3 linked regions of the Arabidopsis thaliana genome follow. The protein of the gene in region 3 purifies or fractionates together with the protein of the main gene of each other region. This does not show direct contact. Each region holds a gene or a part of one and is shown on either strand. Other genes may lie near its edges.

What was found. Proteins that work in one complex are often made in the same cells at the same time.
Region 1: the proteins of EIF3B-2 (region 3) and AT5G37475 fractionate together in Arabidopsis thaliana (co-fractionation; one large-scale study listed by BioGRID). This does not show direct contact.
Region 2: the proteins of EIF3B-2 (region 3) and AT1G04810 fractionate together in Arabidopsis thaliana (co-fractionation; one large-scale study listed by BioGRID). This does not show direct contact.

What each region holds. Positions count from the first base shown.
Region 1 is NC_003076.8:14,864,731-14,871,331, forward strand, and holds AT5G37475 (Translation initiation factor eIF3 subunit), read right to left. Parts: upstream 4,046-6,601; 5' UTR 3,877-4,045; exon of another isoform or gene 3,077-3,876; 5' UTR 3,020-3,076; coding exon 3,007-3,019; intron 2,787-3,006; coding exon 2,668-2,786; intron 2,574-2,667; coding exon 2,425-2,573; intron 2,273-2,424; coding exon 2,125-2,272; intron 2,004-2,124; coding exon 1,844-2,003; intron 1,687-1,843; coding exon 1,598-1,686; 3' UTR 1,327-1,597; downstream 1-1,326. Other genes in the region: AT5G37473 (Defensin-like (DEFL) family protein), read right to left, coding at 6,106-6,257, 6,354-6,423.
Region 2 is NC_003070.9:1,347,788-1,356,792, reverse strand, and holds AT1G04810 (26S proteasome regulatory complex, non-ATPase subcomplex, Rpn2/Psmd1 subunit), read right to left. Parts: upstream 6,714-9,005; 5' UTR 6,490-6,713; coding exon 6,344-6,489; intron 5,961-6,343; coding exon 5,891-5,960; intron 5,687-5,890; coding exon 5,581-5,686; intron 5,268-5,580; coding exon 5,159-5,267; intron 5,081-5,158; coding exon 4,912-5,080; intron 4,723-4,911; coding exon 4,262-4,722; intron 4,156-4,261; coding exon 4,020-4,155; intron 3,918-4,019; coding exon 3,669-3,917; intron 3,570-3,668; coding exon 3,349-3,569; intron 3,253-3,348; coding exon 2,994-3,252; intron 2,873-2,993; coding exon 2,640-2,872; intron 2,554-2,639; coding exon 2,055-2,553; intron 1,880-2,054; coding exon 1,532-1,879; 3' UTR 1,327-1,531; downstream 1-1,326. Other genes in the region: TUA4 (tubulin alpha-4 chain), read left to right, coding at 1-372; AT1G04800 (glycine-rich protein), read left to right, coding at 7,556-8,158; AT1G04790 (RING/U-box superfamily protein), read right to left, coding at 8,650-8,712, 8,796-8,894, 8,989-9,005. UniProt on the Arabidopsis thaliana protein: Acts as a regulatory subunit of the 26 proteasome which is involved in the ATP-dependent degradation of ubiquitinated proteins.
Region 3 is NC_003076.8:8,972,354-8,979,951, forward strand, and holds EIF3B-2 (eukaryotic translation initiation factor 3B-2), read right to left. Parts: upstream 4,561-7,598; 5' UTR 4,406-4,560; coding exon 4,293-4,405; intron 4,179-4,292; coding exon 3,941-4,178; intron 3,798-3,940; coding exon 3,651-3,797; intron 3,368-3,650; coding exon 3,239-3,367; intron 3,154-3,238; coding exon 3,025-3,153; intron 2,937-3,024; coding exon 2,853-2,936; intron 2,766-2,852; coding exon 2,641-2,765; intron 2,537-2,640; coding exon 2,338-2,536; intron 2,231-2,337; coding exon 1,698-2,230; intron 1,603-1,697; coding exon 1,494-1,602; intron 1,406-1,493; coding exon 1,067-1,405; 3' UTR 894-1,066; downstream 1-893. Other genes in the region: AT5G25790 (Tesmin/TSO1-like CXC domain-containing protein), read right to left, coding at 4,822-5,312, 5,407-5,501, 5,581-5,669, 5,763-6,104, 6,176-6,353, 6,427-6,537, 6,620-6,828; AT5G25800 (Polynucleotidyl transferase, ribonuclease H-like superfamily protein), read right to left, coding at 7,408-7,531.

The DNA of each region.
Region 1 (6,601 bases), 5.9 Mb from region 3:
ATATAGATTGCCACATCACTATAACAATGTTGAAACAGTTGAAATTTTATGTCGTAGCAACGGCCAAAACTGTAATGGATACAATAAAATATATTCGGCAAGAGGACTCTAATAGTGCGGTGAGCGTGGATCTGAAGGTCGCGTGTTCGATCCACGCTCACCGCACCATTTGATAACAATACAAACTATGAATGGTGATTTTGAAAATTGCCCTATTTTTGAGTTTTTGTTTGAAAAATACATTCTACCCTATTTTCAATTAAAAATATAATTTTAAATATGTTAAATGACAATTTTTGTCCAGATTTGAAATAAAAGAAATCTTTTTGATAAACTAAAATTAAATACGAATTTGTTTTTAAAAAAAAAGAATAAAGTTAATTTAAAATCTTAATTATTATTTTTAACTATTTTAAGATAAAGCAGATTATATATTTTAAATATTAAAATCTAGCATGATATTATCAAAAAAATATTCTAAAGTTTATCACTTCATATTTCTCACAGTATATAAAGAAATCAATCTAACTCCAAACACATAATTTTTTAACTCTACATTATTACCCAAGTTTTCTCTAACTGTAATGTAAACTACTTTAGCTTTGTTTGTAAATATTTGTAATTTCAATAATCAAAACATGATAATGAAATTCTGCATGGTGTAACATATATATGCATGGTGTAATTTATACGTATATATACGACTAACTTTTCTCTTTTAAAAAATATTGTTTTTGTTTGTCTTGTAACAATATTTTTCATTAAAAAGATATTCAAGATAAATTATATGTAAAATTGTTAGGTAGTTAATATTAAATAGTTGACGAAAAAAATAGTTACATCAAATATTTTTAAATTAAAATATATTATTTTGATCGACAAAAAATATAATAAAAAGCTGATTTTGTTTTAAATATAAATGTTTTAAAATTATTAGTAAATTTTAGTAAGGATATATTTGTAATTTTATATTCCTTTCTTATTTTAGAAAATAGTTTTTAAAGAGAAAAAATGGGTAGGTTATTTTTCAAACAAAAACTTTTCTAACTTTTCTAACTTTTCTAAATTTTCAAACAATAACTATGAATCTCTCTATTTCTTATCTGTATCGATAGTTTGTTACAACTGAGAACCAATTTAGGGCATCACTAGATTCATCAATTCTCTCCCATGACACATGCATCACTTTACGCCAAAGACTTGATCAAGCTACTCCCCGAAGATTCTCCAGTTCATTTGATTCTCTACGTATTGATTACTCTTCACACTACATGTTTAGGTCTTCTTCGAGTGTATATCTCTTGTAATGTGTTAGATTTGCTGGTTCATTATCGAAAACTTATCTTACTAATGTGGCTTCAAATTCTAAGTGAATCATAGGCCGTGCTCTTAGTACTCGTTCAATTCATATAATAGGAAATAGTGTGCCCACAACAAATCTTATTACACAAATTTTTAAATCAAACCGAGCAAAGAAAACAGAAGAAAAACACTTTTGCAATTCAGTATACAAAACAAAAAACCGCCGACGATTTAAACCTCTTCTCAGTTACAATCCTATAGGAGGTAAAATGCAATCTCCAAAATTGCCATTTTCTCACATGAAATCATCATCGTCCATGGCATCATAAGGACCCGAAACAAGATCATCATCAGGCTTATCAACATGAAGTTGTTTCTTCTTACCTAGTAAACACAGTGAAACGAAAGAAAGAAAGAAAAAAACATTTTAATCTGATCATTTTGGAAACAGAGACATGCTTGCTTAGCTTAAAAACATATAATTCACAAGTCTTATCAAATCCAAAGAATAAAACAAAATTCAAAGACTGATTGTGTGTACCTGACTTCTTTTTGCCAGCAGCAGCTTCTTTCTCCGCCTTCAATTTTTCATTTGCTATAGCTGTAATGGACGAAGCAACGTCTTTAACATCTGCTGCTTTCATATTAGCCACAGAAAGTCTCATCACTGCTTTGAGTAGCCCGATATAGTGAAAGCTTTTCTGCGAAATAGTAGACATAGTTAAAATGCAGACGAATTGGTCTTAATATGATATTTGGTCATATAGAAATAAGTGACAGTTAGCTAAGACAAGAAAGTAACAGGAAATGAAAATAGCATACCTCAAATGGTACAAGTCTCTGAGATATCAACTCAGCATAATCCAAGAAATCGCTTTCAGACTTCGGAATTAACATATCGACGCTTTTCTCTTCAGTCTTTACTCCAAAGAGTTCAGCAGTTGATTGGTAATCAGCTTCCTCTACAAGCCTAAGATAAGAAGAATATTAAAAATTAGCACAATGGCCTTCCTCAGTGACATGCTTCTTACACTACTAGAAAACATTTTTCATCCCATTCAACCAAACCAATGCAGAACCAACAGTAGAAGCATATGTAAGTGAACTATTATTACACTCTACCTCTGCATGCGAAGTTTCTCAGCAATAGGATCTAGAGGTTCTTCCCTTGATGTTCCTTTCGGAGCTTCAACAGTTTTAACCTTCTTTTCAACAGCTTTTACTGCTGGTTTCTTTGGAGCCTTCTCAGAAGCAGGCTTTACTATAGGTGGCTACAGGAGAAACAAAGATTGTTAGCCGCAATCTCAAAAACAAATAACAAACAAAACCCAATGACTAAAAGTATATAATGAAAGAAAAATATACCGGAGCAGATACATCTTCCTCCTCCCACGAGTCCTTGATATCATTCTCATCCACATCCTCATCATCCCAGTTACTTTTCAGTTCAACTTTTGAGGGAAGTGGTTGAAAGTCCTCGGCCTCTGAAATCAGAAAGGAAAACCTAAAAGTGAGAATTCTAATATATTTCCCATATGAAAACTTCAATAAAACAACAATAAAGCCTATCATCTTAGAGAACATAGTAAAATATATATAGCTGTATACAGCCTGTACTACTTTTTACATATTCAAAGAGATTAATGCAACACCTAGAGAACAAGAAAGTATTGTGTATTGAACAATTCTTAATGTAAGTCTTACCCCAATCATCCATATGTGTCGCCGATTATCTAGAAGAAGTACAAGCTGCTATCTGAATCCAACTGAAAACCTGCACAAGGCACAAGCAGCCACATAACATCAGAAAGAACAAAGATCAGAACAAAGATCAGAACAAAGGCTCTCACTGGTGATGCTTAAATGTAAATCATACATTAGTTAGTTATATATCCTGGAGGTAAAATGCAACAAAACTCCTATGAAAAATCGAATATGATATTTTCAATATAGTGATATTCATGATTTTAAGTAGTTAGTCATCTGGTCTGACCAAGCAACAAAAACGTGTGTAACAACTCACAGTAAACTTGCAAATACCAGGAATTCATAACAGCCCAAGACAATGATACAATTACTCTTAGGATCAAGGCTTCACAGCTTAAGAACATAAAACAATCTACTATAGAAAGACTTTCTGATCCTACTAGTACTTCACATGCAAATAGAACTACTAAAATAAGAGCATAGAGCCTGATTACAAGTTAATTCTCAAGCAAGCCAGCAAACACAAGTTTGTTCGTTCCAAAACTTAGGTTATGAACACCGAGTTTGCGACCTGATTCATGAAAGGATTCAGCTTTTAAACATCATCAATCATACAAAAGAATATAGCAAAACAGAGTTTGATTGATCATTAGTGTAATCTAAACCCAATTAGTGACAAATTACACAACTTTTAAGGAGGAACCTACAACCCAATTACCAATAAAAACCCATCAAGCACCACAAATCCTAAATCTAACCTTACACAAAATCAGTACTGATAAATATTGGCATGCCCAGCTCGGATTCAATTCGATGAATTCAACAGTCAAGTGAAATTGAAGCGAATGGAGACGGAAGAAACAGTACCTGAGAAAGGCTGAATCCTGAAGGTAGGTTTCAGCCGGAGAATAGAAATCGCCACCACAAAAAACGAAAAAGATGTAGCTTTCCGATGTGAAGCAGACGAAACGACAACGAAGATGGATTTTAGGTTTTTCTCTTCTCTTTCTATAATATTCGCATTTAAGTGGAATTATTTATATTTTTTAAAAATACTTATTTCCCTTCTTCTTTTTTTGATCACCTAATTTGAATTGGCTTAAACTTTTTAAAATTACCTATATTTAGGTATTTTATTTTCTCTTTTGTTTTGTCAGTGTTATATTCTTAACAAAATAAATAAAAGAACAATTGTTAAAAAAAAAACATAAAAGAACAATTGTTTAAATATAATTCATAACTAAGATTAATAAACATTTTGGACCAAAATAAAAAAAAATAATAAGAATTTATTTTTAACGAAATTAAAAATTTAGATTAATTAAGAAAAATAATTTTAAAATGATATAAATTTTTAACTATCATCAGATGTATTTCATAAATATTATTAGTAAAACGATTTTCATAAGACTTCCAATTTTGATATAATACAAAGACTTGAACAAAAACAAAAAAACCTAAAAAGCTAAACCACAAAAAAAAAATTGAAAACTTAGTTTTTATTAGAAGGAAAATATCACTCGATAACATTTTTTTTACCCCCTATATTATCAGTTTAGTCAATTATAGATTGTAGCGAGATATTATTGCACACGGTAGGAGAAGATTTTATGTTGATATTGTTTTGGGAGTTGTATTTTTTTTTATGTTTTTTTTTCTTCCCCACCTAACGATCAGTCATATTTTTCGATCCTATATGAAGAAGAAAGGTTATCGCGATACTAATGTTATCAGAACGTGTTCCTAGTTTTGATTCTTGTTGTAAAACACAAATGGACAACATGTGGCATCGTCGTTATCGCGATACTAATGTTATCAGAACGTGTTCCTAGTTTTGATTCTTGTTCTAAAACACAAATAGACAACATGTGGCATTGTCGTTATTATTTTAATTATCTGCTAGTTGTTATATCGACTAACATTATTACCATTTAAACTCGTAGTCTATTGTTTGTAAAAAGAAATTAAAAAGTTAACTAAAATGATATAGTCTTTAGCGGCCAAAACGAGATTATCCTGATACTGATGTTAGCGGTTAGAAGCTTATCGCGATACGGGTTGTTATCAGGAAGTGTTTATTAGTTTTGATTCTTTTTGTAAAACACAAGGAGACAACCTGTGGCATCGTCGTTATTATTTTTCTTATCTGATAGAAGTTAAATCGACTAACATTGTTACCATTTAAACTCGTAGGCTATTGTTTGAGGATTATTTTTAAAAGGCTACAAACAAATATGCTCGTGTTTAGCGAATAAGAGGTTTTCATGATTCTGTTATTATTAGAACGTGTTACTAGCTTTGATTCTTGTTGTAAAACACAAAGGGACAACATGTGGCATCGTAGTTATTATCTTAATTATCTGCTAGTAGTTATATCGACTAACATTGTTACCATTTAAACTCGTAGTCTATTGATTGTGGACTTTCTTTATAAAGTTAACGGAAATATCATTATGTTTAGCAGATACGAGATTATCGCGATACTATTTGTTATCAGAACGTTGCTTATAGTCAGCGAGACCACATAGGTTCTATTTAAACTCGCAGTTTATTGTTTGAGGATTATTTCTAAAAGCCAACGGAAACTAGTATCGTATATATTCGACATACCTACAACCCTATACATATCAATAATGATTTACAATATCTTTATGTTTTTAATGCCAGTGGGAGATATCTTCTAAGATATCTTTAGCATGTTGAAACTATGCTATAAACTATATTTTGGTTTTATAGGAGCTTTTTTGTCAGAAATTATGTTGGGGAAGACAGAGGATTAATAACTCAGTTTTCATACATAGATACTTAATATTCTGATCATCTGAGCATAGATATTAATATAGCCCTTATTAGAATACTCTTTTCAATCTCAATGTCATAGACACTTTTAATAAATCAACAAAATTTATTTGAATTCTATATAGAATAGCTTATATTGCATTACAATGAATCAATGATATTTTCTTTATTTTCAACCTTTTGTATATGATGGTCATCGAATATATCAAACTTATATAAGAAAATTTAAATTGATATTAATTTTTATTATTATTAATTTTAAATCTTATGATAGGTGATGATACAAATATGAATATATCATTCTAGTACAGAACCATTTGTCTTCAAACAACAACACATGCCTTTATGTGGGCCTGAACGAACGCACAAGAATGGATCCTCCCCACTTTTGCATACGTTGATGCAGTCGTCACTAGTTACACAATGGCCTTCGAAATTACATACAATTGCTGAAAAAAAATATTTTTTTTTAAAAAGGTATGAAATATCTCATTTTTCTAACATTTTTTGTTTTGATATGAAGAAATAGAGGAAGAAAATATAACCAGTTGATTGAGGGAAAACGAGACAGATAAATAATAGCAGAGAGGCAAGGTAAATTTTTTGTGCAGACATTACTGTAATTGTAGCTATTTTCGGTAAATTTAAGTTCAGTTTTTCTTTCTTGGTTTTAGAGCAAATGGTTACTTCCCTTTATAAAATCTAATCATATATATATATGTTTCTTGAAAAAACAAATTATATATACTATTTGAGATTGTAAGAAGTCAATATATGATATTTTATTATATAA
Region 2 (9,005 bases), on a different chromosome or scaffold from region 3:
GTAAACGCAGCTGTTGGCACCATCAAGACCAAGCGCACTATTCAGTTTGTTGACTGGTGTCCTACTGGATTCAAGTGTGGTATCAACTACCAGCCACCAACAGTTGTTCCAGGAGGTGATCTTGCTAAAGTCCAGAGAGCTGTTTGCATGATCTCAAACTCGACCAGTGTTGCTGAGGTGTTCTCCCGTATTGATCACAAGTTTGATCTTATGTACGCCAAACGTGCTTTCGTTCACTGGTATGTGGGTGAGGGTATGGAAGAAGGAGAATTCTCAGAGGCACGTGAGGATCTTGCAGCATTGGAGAAGGATTATGAAGAGGTCGGTGCTGAAGGTGGTGACGATGAAGATGATGAAGGAGAGGAATACTAAGAAGAATGTTTCTAAAAACTTTGGATTTGTGTGGGTTTCTCTATAATCTCGTCTTGTGAGAATGGGCTCAAAACTCTTGGGAGTCTTTAATCGTGTGTGTTTTAAAACCTACTTCTCTATCTTTTCGTAGCCATGTTATCTCTCTATTATCTATTTCCTTTGTGTGTTAAATCGTTTCTGCCTTTCTGGTAATATCTTATCACTACTATCAAAACTACAAGGGTTATTTGAAGGCATGGAAAAAATTCATGAGATGTTATATATTTTGCATTTTGACCTAAGCATGATGATACTTTGGGATTCTTGAGAAATATGTGGCAGTGAGGATATAGCAGATAAATTTATGTAGTAAGATACTCTCTGATCAAAGTATCTAATCAAAGTCTATCTGATTAAATTAGCGTGTTGAATAAGAAAATGTGTATTAGTCTAACCTTAATTGGATACAGTTGTTGCTGCGGTTGGAACAACTGTATATGGGCTTTATATTTTATAAGGTCTATAAACATAAAACTAAAACAAAAATGGGCTCACTAAAGAAGGCCGGACAAGGTTAATCAGATAGAAGGCCAGTTACGTTTTTATTAGTAAAAAAACGCCCACACGCGCCCAGTTTATTAATTTTAGCGAAAAACGGCAGTTTTCCCAGTCTTATACGCGCTTAGTATGCGAGTGGGTAAGATATTTTCATTTGACAGTTCGCCTACCACGCGCCTCACTCATGGGCTCACTTTTATTCTGCCCATTGGGCTACAAGGAGCGTAATATAATTGACCCACATAAATTAAAAAAGGCCTACTAGCATAAACAAACTATTTTGACCCAAAATCGACAACCTGAGATTTTTATTTTTCCCCGACTGAACAATGTGGTTAAATTTTTGCAATGATTTTTATCTAATTTCCCCTAGAAAAATCATACAAGCATTAACCTTTACTTTTTTTCTTTTTTTTTGGTATATAGCATTAATCTTTACTTAGGGAAAAATGATAGTTGTTTACCATTTCTGCTCTTAGTAATATATAGATTTAAAGAAACTACTAACACAAGAACAAGTCGGAACCAATGCAATAAGTACTAGTCTCCAAGTTCAAAAAAGGAGAACTGTTTCTCTGTTTAATTAACAGAAAACAAAATGGCAACTGATCAAATTACAAAATCATGGAGAAGCGTATTCAAAGGCCTGCGGAGGTTGTGGCTCGTCATCTATGGCCATAGCAGAGGTGGTGGCTGCTTGTTGGGCTTGTCCTGCAGCTTCTGCACCCACTGCAGGGGATGCTGTTGAAGTCGGTGCATCGGTCAGAGACAGAACTTCAGGCTCATGCGGACGCAAGTCTCTGAGAAGGACAAACCCTGATGGAGCTAGCTTCATCGGTACATATCGGCTATCCTCCATCAATTTGATGTATTTCTCCTGTGAAGGGACTACACGCGCAGGATTGACTAGAATCTCAAACGTTGCTTCTGGCTCAACCTTCTTCTCCACCGTTGTAGCTGTGCTATCAACCTGGCATAGTAACATAGAGAAAATATACTTGATCAAAAGTCAAAAGACTGATGATAAATTGATCATGACCTTGAGATTAATCATAGGAACAGCATTTCCCAAAGTAAAAAATGTTAAGAGCAATTTTTCAACTCAAACAGATACGAAGATGTTGGGAATTAGATTTGCATTTTACCTGCATAGACTCTGCTTCCTTCTCATCTGACGCTGCATTGGCTTTTCCAGCTTCATTGCCAGAGTTTTCAGCTTTAGCTTTCTGCTCTGCTTCTTTCTTAGCCTTAGCTTTGGCTTTGGCTGAGGTTGAGAGCACAGCAGTTGGTAATTTGGCAGCGGTGTTGGCAGTAGCAACCGTAGTTGGTTTTGGATACTCAAACAACGATGGTTTTGCGTGTGACATGAATTCAAACTTTGGGACTTTGAGATCGTAGTTCAAACCGATGAAGGCGGTGGGTGAAAACGCCAAGCTTATGAAGTAAATCAATGGGTACCAATACCAAAACTGGCTGAAGACAGTAAGGCCAATGACTGCAGTGACTTTGTCATGTTTTGTCTTAGACAGCAGTCTTATCGTCACATTCCTTCCACCAGCATCAAGAATACCTGAAGCCAAAATTGCTCCCATCTTGCTCATTGTATCTTCATGCTTGTCAAGTATTATCTTCTCAAGTTGACGCCTGCAAAAGCACAGACAAATTTTAGTCTTCAAAAGAGAACTATTCTCACTCCCTCCAATTGATGAAGAGATCGGAACTTCACTAACCTAAATGCTCCAACGCGAGAATCGCTTGCTTCACTAATTTGGACCATCACCATGGCCATGGCAATCAGAGCACCTTGACGAACAAAGTCTACAACATCTGATGTAAGTGGCTCCAACAAAGATATCGCCTCACTCAGACCAGTGCCTGCACAAGAGATGCCAACTGCAAGAGCTGCGCCATAGCGGACATGTGGATTGTACGACTCGGAAAGAAGGGATACAATACGGGGAGTCTACAGTTTAAATATTGAGCCACCAGTTAATGACTGTAAGCGAGCACAAGAGCCCTAAAGGCACTAAAGAAATGGAATATAGTGTCAAGAAGTTAATGAGACAAAAAGAATATGGAGTTACCTGCTCTGGATCAGAGTATAAGACAAATCCAAGTGCAAGAACAGCAGTCCTCCTAACATCGTCACTGACATCAGACACAGCAAAGTGAAGAAGTTGGCGGATGGCTTTGTTGTTTGCAGTTCCACTGTAAGCCAATGCGAGTGCATACATTCCACCATAACGGATGATAGGATCCTGATCTCTAGTCATCTGCTCAATCAAAGTATCTGCTCCCTCTTCTCTTCCATATACTGTGAGAGCTATTCCTAGAGCCAATCCCCTAAACACAAAACCAGATGTTGGTTACTTAAAACATTGAAATAAATTACCATGCACCCACACACATAGCCAAAAATATATTCCAGACTTTAGTTACCTTATTATCTTCTCATGCTGAGTCTCGTGAGCATAAGCGAGCATCTCACTTGCCTTATCAGTTGCTGTTCCAACCAACAATAGACCCATGCTTATGCCGGCAGCTTCACCAGCAACAGCACTGTCAGTGTAAAGCACACTTTTGATATCATCATATATGTCTTCATCAGCTGTCCCAAGAGCAGCCAAACCAAGACCTAAACAAGCTCCGTGTTGAATAACCTGCAACCATATTTTTTTAATGAAAATCATTCTAAACAAAAGACTATCTTTTTGGTGATATAACGGAAGACTATCCAGAAGAAAGATATAGCAAATCACCTCAACACTAGTGCTGCGTAGACTATCACGAAGAAATTGCTTGATTCCCTCACCATGGTTTGCATGAATAAGGCCGAGAGCATATAAAGCACCCCCTTCGGAATAAGGACTCCCGCCACCACCTGCTCCGCCCTGAGGCAAGTATGGGGCCATCAGTGACCTGCCCTGTTGCAAGTGACCCCTATGAATAACACCTAATCCTGCTGTAGCACTAAACTTGGCCCAATTGGTGGCCCTGCTTAGCCAATCCTGACAATTCAAACATGAATGGAAAAGAAAAGAAGATTAAATAATATGCCACATAGTTGACGTTGAAACAAGTTAAAAAGTGGTAGAGAAAATAAATTTTACCAAATTCTCCCTGAGAAAAGTGTCAACTGTCGTTCCAGCATGCATTATAGCATTAGCATAAATTGTAGCACTGTGACATACACTGTTCCGCATCTCAACAGATTGTTTGATTGTCTTCAGGATCAGCAGGTCCGATCTACAAAGAAACAATGGCCATTGCTGTAAATTTTACTATGTGGAAGAAACGACTTAAGAATGAAATATCCTTCGAGATATCAAAAAAGGTAAATAAACTGCCTCACTTGTTATGGCTGTAAAGAAACTGGAGTGTCAGTTGTATTGATGTCTCTCCAGATAAAATCCCCTTAGCCTTTGTTAACCTCTCAGCGTACACAGCGTCAACAGGATCTGTTTCATGCACAATTGTCTGAGATGGAGTTTCATCCGCCATCTGAACATCCCCTGCAGTGTTCTCATTCTGAGCAGTAGAGGTTTCAACAGCTTGAATTGCTTCTACAGGACGGGTCTTGGGCGCTGGAAGGCGATCTCTAACACTCATGAGGAATGCCTGGTGCTCATTCTGTACAAGATCGAAAGAGATTTGGAAAGCCAATAAAGCATCATCTTTGTTCTCTGAACGAAGAAGCTTCTCCAATATGCTTGCAACGCCTTGTGGTTCATCCAAGAACATAAGGCATTGGCAAATGCTCAAATAATCAGGAGAAGCCAGCTTCTGGTAAACATTAACAAGTAACCGAAGAACCTGCAAGAACGAAGTAAGGATGTTATCATTTACAAATTAACAGCCCCTACAAAAATGTTTTGAGTTGACATAAAGAATGCAATGAATTATAACCATTATATTTGTAAGAAAAGAATAAAGAAGATGAGCTCATAGTATCATTAACATAATACATCTATTAAAATCCAGTTTTGTGGCCACCAGACTCACCTCATGTCTATATTCTCTTTGATTAACAAAAGAGTGGGAAACATTGATGCAGTAAGATAATGTTCCCTGCACATTCTCACTCTTTATGATCGCTTCCTCCAACTTATCCAATCTCCGGCATTCTATAGCAATGCCCATGGCTTGTTGATACTTTCCGTCAGTGATACATCTATAAAACAGAAAACCATGTAAGGAAAAACGAAAAACTTGTAGACAGACATAAATAAATAAATTCTGCATCCCATACTTGTCTAGCATTCGTTCAACAATGGCCACCAATCTCGGGTCAATTTCCACCACCTCACTTGACTCGACTGCCTTTGATCTGAGAATAGCATACTCATCTATTGCTTTGGCTGATAAGGAAAACAGAAGCATCCATGAGTAAAACATTCAACATTAAACAGTTAGTAACTGTAAGATCACTATCTTATCATGTCTTTGCGTAACTTTCTAGCAGCACAATCTTATTAAAAGAAAGATGGACGTTCAAGTCTTATTAGTTAGAAAATATATCGTATAAACTATTTTCTTAATCTTCCATTTAATCAGGTTGGAATGATTTTGAATTTACGCCTATTAAGAATGATAACCGAGCTAGTGTCTACTGTCACAGAATTGGATAAAAAAAGTAGAAGAGAAGAAAGTAGCAAACTTCAAAATCCTTACATAGAAGAGTATGAATATAATCAGAATCCTCTGACACATCAAACAAGGATCCAGCTCCAAGGGCATAGGACAAGGAATCGTTAAGCTCACCCAAGTAATAGAAAACCTGAGATAAAACAAGATTAACATAAACGTTAGAAAACAAGTCTTATAATACAATAACATAACTTGATTACAGGAAATTCAAGCTCTGAACTTCTGTAGCAATCTACCAGCTTTTAAGGTATCCGTTTAACTGGCACTCGTATCTCCACTAACAATTTATATAAAACCAGTCATCATGTAAGTTAAATAAAAAGATAAACTGTACCTTGGAGGCCAACAAGGCAGCAAGCTGTCTTTGATGCTGATCAAACTCTTCATCTTCGTATAAGCTCTCTCTACAAAAAAATCAAAAAAAGGTCTCAGAATAGCACAAAAACAGTTTAAGATCTCAAGCAAAAGTAGAGTCTCTACAACTTTCAAAAGAACAAATTTTCCGCATCATGACGGTAAGGGAGCGTCCTTAGCCCAGATAACAATGGTTCTATTCAGAATCAACAGAATTAAGTAAAGCAATTCAATAAAGTTTGTCACTTGTGAATTAACGCATTCAAATCTAACTCGACACAAGAGTGGAAAAACTTGGAATGTAATACCCTAACTAAGAAATATCAAGAGTGCTAAAACTCATCCAAATCCCATAAGCTTTACTCCCAGTAAGCAAACAGAATAGCCTCACGAAGGGAAACAATTAAAAAAAAGAGAAGAGAGAATTGAATACATGATTGGGACACTAGTGGAGATCTCGGGCCAAAATTGGTCAACCAATCTGATGAGATATGAGAGAGCGTGAAGTTTCAAGGAAGGATGGGGTTCGTTGAGCATTGCCAGTAACCCACCGGCGGAACTAACCATGGCGGCGGCCATTATCCTAATCGGAAAATTAGAAACCTAGAGGTGGAGAAGAAGAGTTGATCAGACGGAGGAACACAAGAACCGAACTACTTTGGGCGAGCACAATTTCTGAGTTCACTTTTTCACAAGTCTAATCAAAATCGAAATTCTAGACTTATCGAATATTAAGATACTTACCCAACAAGTCAAGTAATTTTTACCAATACCCCTAAATGTTTAATAAGATTACACTTTCACCCCAAATATATATGATGGATCCAAACAAAATCATAAAGTCGGAATACAAAATTGGGTCTAATGATGGGCCAGACTATATATCTTATAGTGTTAATGGACCAATCTAGCGGCCCATAATAAAAACTTTATTGGTTTGTTTGGAAGTATAGCATATGAGTTTCTAGTTTACATCATTGATTGATGACACCTAAAAAGCTAAAGCTCACAAATAAATGAAATCACATTTTAGGGTTTATATAGATAGTTCAATATTCCATAGATTGACATGGCCTGTCCTCCAACCTATAAAGCGACTACATCTTTTATCAAGTCAGAATTATTTTCTAGTAAATATTTTCTCTTAGACCATACGAGTTTTCACTTAATATGAAATTATGAATAGACATGCAGAAACATTTTCATTTTTAGTTATTGCCCTCTGAAACCTGGACAACCTTCAAATTAAATTTTAATATAATTGATATGAATGTATGATTAATATAATTCAAGGAACTGTATATAATAATTGGTGTCATATGTTCTTCAATTTTTCAACTATATTTGCATCATATTTTTCTCTTTGTGTTGGATGAGATCAATATGGCAGTTGGGCAGACAATGAAACATAAAACTTGTCCAGTGACCGGTGAAACATCTTTAACTGTTTTTACTCAACAGCAATTATATCCTAGTTGTTGTACAGGTTGAATCCATGCACATTGACGAAAAGTGCTTATGCTATCACGATCTCTCTCTAAGTCTATATATATACTGCTCATGCAAGAAGCAATTTCGTATCAAAACATCCTCTTCCAATAGCTTCTAATATTTTAACTACAAACATTTTAAGTTTCCACTAACAATGGGTCTAATCGCCGGTAAAGTGCGTGTGTTTGTTTTGGTGTTTGCTTTGGTCACAGATTTTACTATGGGAGAAGCAGAGTTTGGTGATGAGAAGCCCTTGTTTCCTCACCCTCACCCTCATCCTCTCCTCCACAAGAAGGGCTTTAAAAAAGAATTCGGCGACTTAGGTGGTGGTGGTGGTATCAGCGGTGGAGGCGGCTTTGGAGCAGGTGGCGGTTGGATTGGAGGCAGTGTTGGAGGCTTTGGTGGAGGAATAGGCGGTGGATTTGGTGGAGGAGGATTCGGAGGTGGAGCCGGTAAAGGAGTTGACGGTGGCTTCGGAAAAGGAGTTGACGGTGGAGCCGGTAAAGGAGTTGACGGTGGAGCCGGGAAAGGATTTGATGGAGGAGTTGGCAAAGGAGTTGACGGTGGAGCCGGAAAAGGATTTGATGGAGGAGTCGGCAAAGGATTTGAGGGAGGAATCGGAAAAGGAATTGAGGGAGGAGTCGGAAAAGGATTTGACGGTGGAGCAGGTAAAGGAGTTGACGGTGGAGCCATTGGAGGAATCGGCGGAGGAGCCGGTAAAGAAATTGGTGGAGGAATTGGCGGCGGAGGTCACTGAGAATTTGTTTAACCGTAATGTGCATTGATGAGGAGCTAAAATCCAATGCATGTCATTTAAGAAAACTAATTCGTTATATATGTAACAATAACTGAAATGTATGTCGTTTCTCTTTAGTTTGTTTTACTCTTTGAATATGATTGTATCTTGCTTCTTCGTGCAAGTAAAGTGAATAAAACGATTAAACAAAGCCTTGTGCATTTAAATTGATTTTAAAAGGTATATGTTTAAACTAAAGTGAATAAGTGGTAGTATCAACTTTCTTAATCTACAAAAAGTTCTTAGCTAGATATATTTAAACCCGAGAAAATAATCACAGAGATACACAGATAATCATCCCTCGCGCGTAAACGGTAGTAAAACCCCGTTTAATGAGTTCAAATTTGATGGCCAAGAATGTTTGACTTACCCGCAAAATGATTCCAGAGATCGACCGGTTTGGAAGGGTAAAATGGTAGTTTTCAAATTCTCCGATGAATTTGAAAACCTTGTCAAGTAACTGAGGATTTGCAAACCGGACATGATTTACTCCGTCCTAGCCATGGATCAATGCACTGCACAATAAATAAACAATGGTTACTTTTCGAATCTCTGTTCTTAATAAGGGGTTTTCATTTGAATCAGTAAAGATCCTTACATCCTTGTGGAATTTGTGCAAACAAGGAAGATGACGTATGGTGTCTCCAATCTTCGGAGTTTCCAGACAGATAACACAAGTTTCTTGAAAATTATCAGTCTGCAAATTAACACATAAGCAATCAAATAGAAGCTTTTAGTAACAAAATTTCGATATGAAAAAGCTGAATTTTACAAGTGAACCTTTAGCTTACTTGAACTGTAGACTCTG
Region 3 (7,598 bases):
TTTTTGGCTTCTTTAATATATACATAGGTGAAAGGTCTACTAACTATCAGAACTTTCTTTATTGATTCCAATAAGATTAATGAGGCCAAATATTGAACTAGGGAATTGTAGGGCTTTACCCCGAAGGGAGCCCTTCCAGAAATTCTCGAAGGCCCTAGACAAGCTTAGGCCTAGGAGGGGGTTTGGAAATAGTTTTCAACCAGCAATAGACGCGCCTCGGTTAAGACCTCATTAGCTGCGTCATTGCCCCAAGCGCAAAGATACTTTTCAAGGGACCAAATCCTCTTTGCTTTATAGTCACACAATACCCATCATCTTGATACTTACTTCCGATGTGGGACTCTATATACCCAAAGACAAATATCAAAAGGTTGTCAAAATTTTCAATTAGTGATCAACAAGACAACTAGTTTGTTATTATAGGAAGATATGAAGATTAAGACTAATGATGGTAGGGGCTGCGCGAACGCAAACCCCCTCTGCCACAAATAATGACGCAGGCTCTTCCTCATGGGAAGACCTTAAGCATAGCACCCCAGCGTTATGTGCAATGCGGTCACTAGCCTAGGCCACTCGTCTTATTGATCACGAGTTGACCCCGTCCAGGTAAGTAATTTGCTCTAACCAGCCACTTCTCTATTTATACTCCTGTAGTACCCAGTCATTGTTTCTAGTCTAGCGATGTGGGATAATTATCACTTACACACATCCTACCGTTTAATGGTACTGCTATCCAACAACGCGCTGTTCTCTTACACATGAGTTTGATAAGATTAGTCAGTGAACCAAATGTTATTCAAAGCCAAATGACGATTAATAAATTCTCATTTCCATCATGTATTTAAAGTTCCTTTGGATTTCTTTATATTGGAAGATTTGTGTGTGGAATGAGTTTTGATCGCAAGATTTGTCTAGTATTAAGAATCTTAACCCTTCAAGTGTAATTACGAAAACTTAAATAATGAAAACAATATCCAAAGGAAACAAAATTTCTCTTCGAAGTGTGGAGAACGCGATATCTAAGAGATCGAAGACTAAGAGAGGGTAACAAAAGAGACCGAGAAACTTACATCAACTCTTGAACAATTTCCTCAGTAACATCAATAAGATCCTCAAACTCAACTTCTTTGGCTTCATACTCATCTTCTTCCACATCACTAACTTCACCATCCCGAAGATTTTGCCTCACGAGTTTCTCCTCTTCATGCAGAGACTTCCACTGCATCACCCATTTCTGCCACTCTTCATTCAATGCCCTCCTCTTCTCTCTGTCTTGTTCACTCAATAGCAACGACACGTCCTGATCCTCTGCCTCATACCTCTTGCTGTAATTCCTCAGGTTCTTTGCTATCTCTTCTTCCTTCTCCGCAGTCAAGAATGATGCCGGTCTTGGACGCCAAGCCAACTGTGTAACCAACCATACACAAATATTTTATTAGACATCTGAAAATGGATGATGCTAGTTTGAGACCGAGTTTTTTATTGTTACATACCTGGAAGAAATGATCCTTCAGTATCCGGTAAACCATATTCCCATTGAAAGACCATATGGTGAACCCATTCTCCATCTCGTGGACTGTTGTCACTGAGGTTGCAACGTACCTTTGAAAATAAAAAAAAAGTGCAAACAACATCAGCAATTGGTGAAACAAAGAGAAACCAACCAATGGACTGGTTTGGTTTTAAGACATTAGTACCTTCCAGTTGGGTCCCATTCGATATCTGTGGCCATGAAGTGTTCAGCTGTGGCCATTGTCTCGAGCTCATCCACGTTGAAAAATTCAAGCTGGCCATTGAAACCTTTTAACCCAGCAAGAATGATGTACTTGCCTGTGGGCGACCAGAAGAGGGCATTGGCTTGTTTGGCCTTCAAAGTTGCGAGCTTTGAAACTCTTCCAGTGTTTTGTGCAGTCTTCATCGAGTAGAAACTAACATCCGGTCTTGGCTGGTCACCATGAATCACAGCAAACCTGTGACCCTTGGGCTCCCACGCGAAAGCAATGATCTTATCGTTCTTGTTATCCAGCTCAAGAACCTCGATTGGAATATCCCTTTCTTTGATACGGAAAAGCTCAAATCCAGAGTATGTACTCTTCTTAGTTTTTGTGTATCGATCAACCTTAACAGCAAGATACTCTCCACTACTCTGCCAGTACATCTTGCAGTCGCTCACACTGAAGAGATTCTTCTGCCTCAGCTCTACCTTACTCGGGATTTGGACTAGAGCAACCTGAAGAATGGGATATCAACATGTAAATACAAAACAACTGGCAGAGAAACGGAAGATTATTGAGGTATCAGGGCTTTTCATTTACATAAGAAATAAAAGAAACATACCTTGGCTGGTTGGTTTCCACCACCTTGTTCAGGAACAAACAATGAAAGGATTGAATCAGTGGGAGACCAGCAAATATCCACAACATTATCAACCTTCATGGATTTCTTGTCTATTAGGCTGAAAGTCTCAGTCTCATAGACAGAGATAGTGTTTTTGCTCAGCTTGGCAAAGTATTTATCATCTTTTCCGCCAGCCCATCTGAAAAAAGTTGGCAAGATATCAACAAATTTGCATAATAGTGGAATAGAGGAGAGAAATTGACTATTATTTTTAGTACATTGACATGCGGTTGAAGAAATTACCTGAAAACAGGCCAAGAGGCACCAGCAACACCACCAGGTCCTCCAATTGAAAACTCATCAGCACTACCCTTGAAATCTCTCATCATCCTCCCGGTTCTCACATCAAAGACCTTAATCTCTACTTTCTGAAATTTTGACAAATATCAGAATTCTTTGCATAGAAATGTTATACGAATAAAAGTTGGAAAGAACAGAGGCAAAGATGAACTCACACTTGCATCTCTCGGATTGCTTGGTTCTTGGCTATGGTAAGTTACAAGATATTTCTCACCAGGCGAGAAATCAACTAGTTTGACCTAAAACGGAATCAACAAAAGAAGTCAATTTTCAGACCAACACAGGAAAAACGGAAGTACTATGTAGCAATTGAAAGGAATTTCAAACCATTGAATGCTGATAACGCATGAGACGCGTAAATGTATCAGCACCACCCCAAACAGCTGCCCCCTGCTTGTGAAGTGTCACAAGGTATGTACCTATTGGAGACCACTGCACATAACTCTCTGTCCAATACTGCATAGGAAGACAACATCATTAATTCAGATGATGGTAACATAAACATATAACATTGCTCTAAACTGACACAGATGTAACTTACAGAACGCTTATGAACAGGTTCAGGCTTCTTCTGCCTAGCATCATTCCAGTAAACTTCAGTATCATGGCCAAAACGAATGACTAGCTGGTCCCGGGCTTTGTCATCAGTAAGCCACTTCTGCAAATTTTCCTGAAAAACAAACACCATATAAGTATCAAGACCAAGCACCTCAAAAGGCTGCATTGAATAAAAAAGAATAAACATTTAACAAGACTGATGAAATTATTATTTATTGGTTACTATACATCAAATACGTAAACAGATCCTAACACTAATTCAGCTGGTAAACACATAAATCACTGAAATCATTCAGAGAACAACCAATATCAAGAAGTACACAGGCGCAGTGGAACTTATTCAAAAACATATAATGGTGTCGCTGAAAGAGTAATATGAAGAAAACTAAACTTACCCCAGGGACATAGGGCCTTTCTTGAGGAGGCTCCCACTCCTCCTTCACATTCATCAACCTATCGAAATCATCGAACATATTAACAGCAAATATGTGAGACTTGTCCAACTTGTAGCCATGAGACTTTTCCTTAGCGTTTTGTGCTTCCTAAAAACAGCACAGACATTGAGACAAACTCTTAGAAAATACACTTACCATTGAAAACAATCTAGTTCTGTGCCTACACAATTGCTTAAGCAAAACTAACTAAACAGAGAGATTAAGCTTTAAGCTGCGAGTAGATAAACAACCTGAGGAGTGTTGAACTCAATAAAACAGTAGCCCAATGTCATCTTAGTATCGGGATCAACGGGCATCAACAGTCCATTTTCCTTAATCACACCTAACTGGTTGTAAATTTTCTTAACAACACCTTCTAGTTTCTCAAACTTCTCCTTGGGAACAACAGGGAGGTGATCGACAACGATAATGTTACCGAATCCAGTGTCGAATTCTGACTGGTCATCTTGGTAAACACTTTCATCATCACTACCCAATCACCACAGAAACAAATCAACGCAATCAGTTCAAAATACTAAGCGATTTCTCAGATTTGAAACGAAGATTCTAATAGAAGCAGAGATGTAATGGAAAAAATCTCACCTTTCGATCCCAAAGTCGTTTCCAGGAGGAAGTTGGATTGAATCGAGATTAACATCTGACCAATTAATCCCTAACTGAGCTGTTAGGACATCAATATCAACAACCGCCGCCATGATTTCGAATCTTAGAACGAAGTTTCTCTCAATCGATATCGAGGAAGAAGAAGCTTTGAGGATAGAGAGAGAGAGAGAGTGTGTGCCTAGGGTTTTGAGTTTTGTTTGCAGTGTTAAGTCTTAAACCGTTGATTGATGAAGAAGACAGAATATTTTTCTCGGACGGGTCGGGTCGGGTCATGTAATTTGATTGGACCTTTATTATTCCAAAGCCCATTATCAACTAAACAACGATGCAAAGCCCATTATCTTCGATTCTCTGTTTTGCGATATAGTAGTGACAATTTTCACTCATAAACTTCAAACCATTTTTAAATTTTAATTATGTCTAATCTTCCTAATTATTTTTTTAAAATGTGACATGGATCATATGTTAAAAATGAGTATGATCCTAAAAAAAAAATCAAAAAAATTCCCTAAGCAATGTCCCTAATTTGAGTCTCGATGGCTTTGTTCTTCATCTTCTGGTTTCTTTCAACTTGGATTTGTGTTGCTTTTGATATTTTTACCTGCTTAAAATAATGTCTTAAATTAGCACAATCCTCTACTTGTAAATATCTGAACAAGGATACGATATCAAGGTTACCATTTATCCTCGCACGGTTTGAGAGCTGAATGAGATAGTCCCTGAAGATTGACAATATCTGTCTTTCTTGCTCTAAGTAAATCCCCGAGCTTGTGTCTGTGTCTTCTTTCTCTTGGCTTGTTTTCACTCGGGCCGATGTCTCTTTCTCTGACCCGATCTCATGTTCTTCGTCACACATCAATGCACGTGTTGCGGGAGATATAGGCTTCTCGTCCATTCTATTAGCATCAAGGACACAATCTGGTGAGTCATTGATCTCATTAGCAACTCTTTGGGCTCCATCAAGTGAAGAAGGGCCTTTGTCGTTCTTCCTCCCTTTGTCTGTTTCACCATAACAAACATTCTCTTATCAAAGACCTTATTATATGAGGAACGTTAACCTATCATCTTGTACATCTAACGGCATGATATGTACCTGACAATTTATTTGCTACATCAACCGAGTTTGAGACCAAAAGTGAACATAGCTCTCTGACATGATGTGGTTGGAATGTATTTGACCAAGAAGACCTATAGAAGCCATTAGTCAGGTATCACGGTAGTTTCAAATAGGCAATATCATAGAGAAGATGAGTTTGATATTTCCAACCTGTAAGCACTTGTGGTAGATCCGGACACGGCCTTGTTGTTAGGGAGTGAAAATAGAGAATTTTCACCATTTCTTCTAACGTGGTTTGCCTAATTGGAAATAGAAAAACACAAAGAATTATGCTTTCAATGCAAAAACTGAAGCTAAAGACCATGAGATCAACACAGAATTGTACTATTTACCCTCTGGTATTGGACACCGTATGATGAAACTACAGAATCTGAAATGTCCTTGCTCTTTCTCTTTCTTGATTCAGGAGGGTACAGATAAGCAGACATGTCGATGGCACGGTTAACAGCCGCATTGGTCATCTGTTGTATGTAGGTATCCGAGACCTGAGATCCATGAAGAAGAGCTTTTCTTTCTTCGCTTCCTTCAAAGTTCTTGCAGTCTTGACATCTACAATTCTCCGAACATAGAATATTCGCCTGGTAACACTCACAGTACTTCTTGAGACATCCTGATTTCCTGCAGTGGCATCCTTTGCTGTGCTTTCCAATAAGCAACACTTGCTGCACATTCTCCTACAAGTTATAAAACTACCATCAAGCCCTAAAGTTACATCTTTTTTTTTTCAAGTAACAAGATCACAAACCTGCAAATCTTTCATTCCATGAGGACTACCAGCAATCTTGGGCTTAAACGCATCAGGGTTACGCTCTAAGATCCCCGAGATAGCTACTTGTCTCGAAGACTCATTCTCCAATTTGTTGTGACAATTCACACAGTTACAACCATTACAATAAGATCCAGAAGCAAAGCATTCACAATACCTATATAGATCAACAAGACTCTGTATAAACAAAAATATGTTTTTAAACTCTATTAACAAAAATAGATACTTACAGTTTCAAACACTTTGAGTTTTTGCAATTGCAATGTTTTTGTTGTTTATTTGGAGTATTCTCTTTCGATTCAACTTCATTATGTCTTCGTGAGGTCGATGGATCTTGATTGCTACATAATCAAACAATCAAAAATGCTAATTCCTTAAGATTGAAATAGATTTGATGGAACAGAGAAATTAACCAATTTTTACCTCACTCGATTCTTCTGAACTTGGTTGTGACCAAATTGGTGAAGCGGTGGTTTCTGAGGCGGTGTGACTTCCGTTTCTGATTGTTGAGAAGATTTCACCGGAGAACACGGCGGAGGTTCTAGCGACTTTTGAAACGAATCCATCTTCTCCGCAGGGATGGAGATATCTGATTGACGCGGGAGGAGATTCTGATTACTCAAATCTTCCATAGTGAAGAACTATATAAGGAGCAGAGATTGTTTTATGCTTTAAGCTTGAATAGCTCTCTCTTCTTCTTCTTCTTCTTTTGCTTCGTCGTCGTCTCTTTGAGATCTTTTTGAAAAATCAAAAAATTGAATTTTGATGAGAGTTTGATCAACAAAATCTAACGGTTGAGATGAAAAGGGGTTAATCGACGGTTTAGATCGTTTGATTAAGATCGATCTAGGTTTTTAGAGGATACGAGCGGAATTTGGCGCTAAAGGAGAGAGACTCCGAGTGTTTTACACGTGCGGTGGTATTGTTTTTTTTTTTCCTTGGTTTATGATAACCGACCGGTTAAGGTTTTTCCGAATTTAAATTTTATATTTGTTTTGGATTTATTTTCTGTAAATTCATGCTGGAATTGGCCGTTTTTTTTACCTTTTTATTACTGTAAACAAACTTGAAATGTCAACTCTTTTTACTATATGAAAATCGCCATTAATAGATGCTACAAACCAATATTACCAAAAAATACAATACTGAATTGTGAGTTTCTTGTTGCTCATATGGTATACAAGGGAAAAAATTTGGCTTTCTGTTTAAGTTTATTGCTTGATACCTACAAAACAGAGAGCTACTTCGGCTTGTGCTTGAAGCTCTTCAAGAACCTTGACAAGTTTCTCACGGTCAAACCCGATTTCATCCTCATCTTTAAGCATTTTCCGCACTCTTCATATTGCAAGAAAGTAAGAAAATCCAATCAGATTCCAAATCCAGAAGAGATTTGAATGTCTAA